Linked DNA regions of Danio rerio. The protein of the gene in region 1 binds, or shares a complex with, the protein of each later gene. Links are inferred from orthologs where the notes say so. Each region holds a gene or a part of one and is shown in the gene's direction. Other genes may lie near its edges.

Region 1 (3,660 bases):
TCTGTTTAACAAAATTTGGGAAATATTTTAAAAATAAAGAAAAAATAAAAGGGGGTTTAATAATTCTAAATTCAACCGTATAAGGTGTCATTTATAAGTTCTGTGTTAAAGCTTTTAACTCTGCAACACCAATTAAATAATTTCAAACAACAAAATTATAATTCATAAGGAAAGTTCTACATTTTAAATAAAGTTAGATCCACTAATGGATGTTGTTGTCATATCGCAGCATATCATAAAGTACCTCAACTTCTCATTTCCCCAGATCTTTTTTGCAGCACTTCAAGTTAAGCCAATCCAAGAAAAGAAAAACAGTCAAATACTTTTTTTTTTTATAGAGCTATCATGATGCGTGCAGTTGAGGGTTAACTTTGTGTAATTTTAGGTTTTTCCTTTTACTAAATGATTTTTATTTTATTCCTATTTAGATTTTTATTAAAGAGCTATACCTTTGGGCAATATTGCCATCATGATATTTTCTTTTTGTTTGTGAAAGATAGTTTAAATGTTGTTTCTCCAAAGATGTCAGAAAGATGATTCATTAATCATGTATTTTTTTATGTTTTACAGTGTGTAAAAATCAATATCAAGGACAAACAAGTGAAATACTTTATTCATTACAGTGGATGGAATAAGAAGTAAGTCTGTGTATTTAAAATGCTCACTTAATTGCATTGATTTGTTGTTTACTACACAGGTTATAGACCATTTTGAGTGATGTGAACAAAAACAATGGTTCCAACGTATTTCCTGTTTTACATTTTTAATTTCTTTAGCTGCCGAGAATCCAAAAACAACCACATATGATAGCTGTTTTAATATTAAGTTATGATTGAGTTGCCACTTGTTACAGTTAGGAAAAGGTTTGATAAGCAGAAAATGTTCATGGGCCGATTACATGACCACATTGAAATGGTCTATACCAGTTGAAATTGTAAATGTAGTCTACAAGTGACTTATTTTTAATGATTTATTTTAAGAAAGTGTGATCAATGTGTTTCTAGCTGGGACGAATGGGTTCCTGAAAGCCGTGTGCTCAAATATGTGGACAGTAACCTGCAGAAACAGAAAGAGCTTCAGAAGGCAAATCAGTGAGTGAAAGAAGTTTAATTAAATGCCACTGGAAGTGCTTTATGCCTCTCTTTATTATTCTGTTTCATTGCTATTTCAATAGACCGATTTTATACAATCTGTGATGCATGTTTATCTATTTGATGAGAGAAGAATTAATGCAGAACACACTGTTTTTCAGAGACCATTATGTTGAGGGAAGGATGAGGGGTGTCGCACCGAGCAAGAAAATCGCTGCTGTGCAGCAAAAAAATGTAGATGTGTGAGTGTTACTTTGTTTGCTCGTAGGGTTGAATTGCCCTCGACTGCACTCAGCTTCTTGCTTCATCAAGAATTTTTAAAATGAGCTGTCAAAACTGCAAACTCATGTTTACTGGTGCATTTTTAACCAAGGGCTTTCTATTCATTTCACTAGAAAAACAAAGAAGAACAAGCAAAAGAGTAAGTTTCAATTCTCTTTACAAATACTGATGCCTTGCAACCTGTCAGAAATGTTGGATTAATGTTAATTAAATGTCAATAATTTCTCAAATCTGTCAAGATGTAGTGTTTGTTAACAAAGATGTAATCACATTAATACATTTTTCACTGTAGCTTCGTTATTGACTGTTACTGATAAGAATCTGTGTGTTGTTTGCTTCTCAGCGCCAGGGGCTGGAGAGGGCACTAGCACTGGGGACATGCCTCACCCCCCACGCAAGAAGAGGGCACGTGTTGACCCGACTGTGGAGAGCGTATGTCACTTCTAATCTTTAAAAGCCAATGGTCAATATTTAGAGACTTACTCATTTTATTTCCCCCCAGGAAAGCGTTTTTACCCTCTTAAAATGCATGTTGTATAATCAAAAAGACATATTTGCTTTTTTTTTGTTGTATGCGTGTATGAAATATTTTTTCATGCCCTAAAGTGATGCTTCACACAAAAATGTACTCACCCTTGTGTTGTTGTAATGCCAAATACCCTTATGAACCAGCAAAGGAGAGAGAAAAACCCTGCTCTGTCCATTCATATACAGACAGTAGCTATGTTTTTATCTAAAGTCAGGATTTAAATGTACGTGAAAAACTGAAATATCGCATAAAAGATGTACAAATAAAGAAGAATTTTCATTCAATGAGTCAAAGAGAACAAAATTGTCACTTCCTGATTAACTGTTGCCAAATATCAACATTAAAAACGGAATTTGCTGCAGTAGGAAAAGCTGCGTCAATCTTTTCTTTATTTAATCAATTACTTGCGTCTCAGAAGCAAATGCTGACATGCAATGAAGTGTTTAGATAGTAATTTATGTGCAATTTTTCTTATTGAATAAAAAGTTTATCCTACTCCGTTATGTGCATGTTTTTTTTATGCACATTTTCAAATTTGATGCGAATCTTGGCGTTTTCCATCAACCATTTTTTACGTGCGTATCCAAAATACTCATTAAATTGGTGGATGGAAATATAGCTAGTGAATACCGACCAGCATCAAGCATTAAACTAAAGCATAATTATGGCTGGAAAAAGCGTACACATATTTAATAATTGACATGAAATGTGGATTAAAATACAATATATGCCCCTTTCTGAGGTGAATATACCTGTTGTGTTTGTAGCAAATACACATTTTAAAGTATTGCATGAGAAACTAGTGTGGAAATGCCAAATCTCGAATGATATCTCCTTAATTTGTAAAAAAAATAAAATAAATAAATAAATAACTAATATATATATATATATATATATATATATATATATATATATATATATATATATATATATATATATATACATACATACATACATACATACATACATACATACATACACATATATATATATATATATATATATATATATATATATATATATATATATATATATATATATATATATATATATATATATATATATATATATATACACACACACATATATATATATACATATATATACACATCAACTTATTAACTTAAAACGTTTCATGCTTAAGGGATAATAAGAGAATACATGTCAAGATGATGCTTTTTATGTTTTATGAAACGATTTATTAGACCTGTCACTTCACTTGTATGCTTATCTTAGAACATCATGAACTCGCAGTTTCTTTTTTTAATACCCTATTTTTTTTTGTGTTCTGAAAAAGAAAAACAGACATGCTGCATTGCAACAACACCAGGGTGAGCAAATAATGACAATCATACATTTGCAAATCAGCCCCACACAACATATAATAAACCATTAAGAATGTGTTGCTAATTTTACAAAAACCTGTTCGGTTTGCCATAATACACGGATACTGTACCTAGTAACATATTAGATTCTTTGAACAATAAATAAGTGAATATGGCATATGTAAGACTTGTTTTTTTTTTTTTTTTTACATGCTTGTGGTGGTAGGTAAATGGAGAATATACCTAATGCATGGTTTGTCTTTTACACATATTGACAAGATTGACAAGTAAACAATATTAAAAACATGATTTTCTCCAAAGAAGGGTCTTAACAGATGCTAAGAGTGAGGCTGTTTTTGATGGCCTTGCTGGTTTTGTGTGCAGGAGGAGACTTTTATCAACAGAGTAGAAGTAAAAGTAAAAATTCCTGAAG
Region 2 (3,660 bases), on another chromosome or scaffold:
CCGACTGGGTTCTCCCCATGTTGGCGTGGGTTTCCTCCGGGTGCTCCGGTTTCCCCCACATTCCAAACACATGCAATACAGGTGAATTGTGTAAGCTAAAATGTCCCTATTGTATGTGTGTGAGAGAGAGTGTATGGATGTTTCCCAGTGCTGGGTAGCAGCTGGAAGGGCATCCACTGCGTAAAACATATGCTGGATAAATTGGTGGTTCATTCCACTGTGGCAACCCCAGATTGATAAAGGGATTTAGCCGAAAAGAAATGAATGAATGATTATGGATAGAAGATGTTGAAAGATGTTTAATATCTCTGCCTCTGCTGATTTCACTTTTGTAAACATTATACAGTATCACTTTGTTTTATCTGCAGCACCACTGACTGTAAAACGCTTCCACAAAGAACAAGTTTTTTTTTTTCTTTTGACTGGTGGAGGACCAAGAAATGGCTCAGCAGCAGTCTCACTCTTTTTCTATTCGGGTGCCCAAATGTATTTGAGGAGTTTCAAGTTAATAAAAAGTGACGGGAAGCTATGCTAAGGTTAACTAGCCTATAGCATATATCTTGCTGTCTGCAAAAGACAGTAATTTAGACGTACCATATAACTCCCATAAGTGCATACTATTCGACACAACTGCAAAAGCATCGTTTTAACCTTTATAAAAGAACGTTAACGTTACTCTGTCAACAGTCTATTGTCTAAATTACAGCGCTAACAGAGCTAACGTTGCGTAAACAGAGCACCCGGTTGCAGACGTCAATAATGCAGCGTAATAGAATATCCCGATTAAACTCCGCTTCAACTCCGCTACAAGTTTACAAATAAACTGCCTTTGGAACCCAATTAAGGTACAAAAATCTATTTAACAAAAGTAGTGATGCAGTGAAGTATTTTTTTCGCTCAGCCGAGCCTTCTGTCTGTTGCTGTGGAGAAGCTTGTGCCAGACACCTCCGCCCCGCCCTCCGACTACTGACTGAGCGTGTCTCTCTCTCTCTCTCTCTCTCTCTCACTCACTCACGCGGGCATGCACTGTGGTCTCATGAGGAAACGCTGCTTTTTGATATAGTGTTTTTCTTGCTCCCGAATAAAAATAATTTTTCAAGTATTTGTTCGAATCAAGTATTCGTAAAAACACACCATTCGTGCCTTTCCGAATACCGTATTCGGGTTCGGCTCCACCCTTAATATATATATATATTAAAATATATGCAAATTTTACGTTATATTGCTCAAATGGACAATTGAAAATTAATCAGATGATGTCATTACGCTGCTGTGCCGTCAGCCAATCGTTGCATTGCTGATCATAATTATGCAGATCGATAGATCTGTTCTTCAACACACACAGCAATCTCAGATCAGTTCATCCTGACATTTTAATCTGATTCACAAACTTGTTTGAAGAACCAAATTAGCCAGAGACCAGTTATCAAAATGAACAGATCCAAGATCTGCCAAATCATCTTAGATCATTTAAGCGAGGTACGAAGTACAGACATTAGGTCTGGAAAATGGGGAGGATGAGTAAATAATGACAAAATGTTCATTTTTGGGTGATTCATCCTTTTAATTTATGCTTGCTTGTTTCACTTTCACTCTTATTTTACCCATTTGCCAAATTTCACAGCTAGTCAAAGCCTCTTTTATAACAAACTTGTGTCGATGGTGTTAAATGCCACAAAAGCTCAAATTAACACTTAATTAAAGCCAAGTTAAATTATACCTGTCCTATATTGTTACCAGTGTTGGGTAGAATGACTTATTAAAGTAAACTATTACAATCTTAAGTCACTTTTTAAAAAAAGTAACTAAATGTGTTACTCAGTTTTTTCTTAAGGGAAGTGATGTGAAAGTATGTGTAATGATTTTTTTAAGAGTAAGATAGTCTTAAGGTTGTACTATATTACTTTAAAAGTAACTATCACACACTGATTGTTACTATGGACCCTTTTCACTGGTATGAGACATTTAACGGTCATCAGCGCCTTACATTCATTAACGTTTTTAATATTTAGAACATAAACTTATGAACATTTATGTGCATTTACGTATGTATTGTATCTTTGCATCAAATTACGAAAAACAAATTACCTCTAATGTGAGGCATTTGAAATACAACTTGTATGGGGGCAGAACAGTAAATTTGAGTTTGTTTCCTTTTTTTGAAAGTTTTAACACTATCGTCAAGTTTTTCTCTTATTGTTTCAGCAAGTAGGTTTGTAAAAAAAAAGTATTTGTTGTACTGTCCACTTCACTGCGCTCTAACTTCACCCAACTATGATGACTTCCTATACTGAGAAACCATTCACGTTTGTTGTTACAAAAGTCTTTAATGTCATGCTTACTAGCGCTTTCTTTTTCCCTCTGCACAGCGGCAGGAGCAGAGCACAGAAGAGGGCAGCGTGGGCCAGCAAGGCCGTGACGGCACGAGCACAGCGTCAACCAGCGAACCCCACATGATCTTTAACTATGAGGACAAACAGATCCTGGAGGACGCCGCTTCCCTCATCATCTACCACGTCAAGCGGCAGCCCACCATCCACAAGGACGACAAGGACCACATCAAGCGCATCATCCAGCACTTCGCCCCAGACCTCTTCTTCGCCCGTCGTGGAGAGCTTAGCGAGACTGAGGAGTTCACGGATGAGGAGGGCGAGGGGGAAGACGGTGCGGCCGCAGGAGGTGGAGTGTCATCCACAGGACAACAACAGCTGAACGGCGAGTCCAGAAGACGACGATGCACTTCTCCTCAAAGCATGGACACGTCAACAGTGGCCCACAGCATTAATCCCGAAGGAGAGGCGGTGGATCTGAGGGACCCAGAGGCTGAGCATCAGAAGGAGATGGATGGGGTCTACAACTTGTTCTTCGTCAATAATAACTGGTATTTCTTCCTGCGGCTGCACCAGACTCTGTGCTCGCGGCTGCTGAAGATTTACAGGCAGGCCGAGAGACAGTTGCTGGAGCACCGGGCCGAACAGAACCGGGAACGGCTACTCATGGGAGAGGGACGCAGGGAAAAGGCAAACGACCTGGCCATGGAGCTCCGTCTAAAGCAGCCGAGTGAGTTTTTCTTTCTGAAATTTGCACAAATCAGCACGCAAGCATGATGACTGCAAATGTAATACAGTGGTCCCTTGTTATTCACAGGAGTTGCATTATAAAAATAGCCTGCAATAGGCAAAATTGGCCAAGTAGTCAGCTTTATTATTTTTTTTCAATTATTATAGATGTTTCAAGGCTGTAAAACACCTTATGCACTTTTCTCAGACAGGCATTAACATTTTCAAACTTTTCACTCTTGTTTGAATGCTCTCGAAGTTCAAACCATCGGGAAAAAAAAAAAAGTCCAGTTTAGAAAAATTAAACCAAAAATCAAAGCCATTCCGTAATGATACCCTACAGCCTCGTAACTTCTACCTTCCTTTAGCATGTCCAGAAGTTCAACTTTTTGTGCGATGCTTAGCATCTTCCTTTGCCTTTTTGGTGCGACCGCAGGTGCCGTTGACCATGCAGAACTTTTTCGTCGATATTGTGTAGAGAAAATTTGTAAACATACAGTATAGCACTTCATAGTCAGCGATCGAAGATTTACAGTATGTAAATTTATCAAGCTGAACGCATTCTGCACTGTACAGGAGACACGGCAGGGAGGAGATTGAT

The links. The genes of interacting proteins can lie anywhere in the genome.
Region 2: the proteins of morf4l1 (region 1) and sin3b are in contact, whole or in part, in a cryo-EM structure (PDB 8BPA), measured with the Homo sapiens proteins. The link is inferred for Danio rerio from reciprocal best matches to the Homo sapiens genes MORF4L1 and SIN3B. Residues at the interface, in NP_996670.1 of Homo sapiens: Gln217, Gln219, Tyr222, Ser348, Tyr350, Glu351, Val352, Ala353, Pro354, Pro355, Tyr357, His358; in NP_056075.1 of Homo sapiens: Cys394, Arg396, Arg402, Ala403, Pro405, Lys406, Thr407, Tyr408, Ser462, Phe463, Pro464.

What each region holds. Positions count from the first base shown.
Region 1 is NC_133193.1:21,425,041-21,428,700, forward strand, and holds part of morf4l1 (mortality factor 4-like protein 1), read left to right. Parts: intron 1-570; coding exon 571-638; intron 639-1,004; coding exon 1,005-1,091; intron 1,092-1,252; coding exon 1,253-1,333; intron 1,334-1,486; coding exon 1,487-1,512; intron 1,513-1,716; coding exon 1,717-1,805; intron 1,806-3,611; coding exon 3,612-3,660. UniProt on the Homo sapiens protein: Component of the NuA4 histone acetyltransferase (HAT) complex which is involved in transcriptional activation of select genes principally by acetylation of nucleosomal histones H4 and H2A.
Region 2 is NC_133183.1:15,980,946-15,984,605, reverse strand, and holds part of sin3b (paired amphipathic helix protein Sin3b), read left to right. Parts: intron 1-2,369; coding exon 2,370-3,060; intron 3,061-3,660.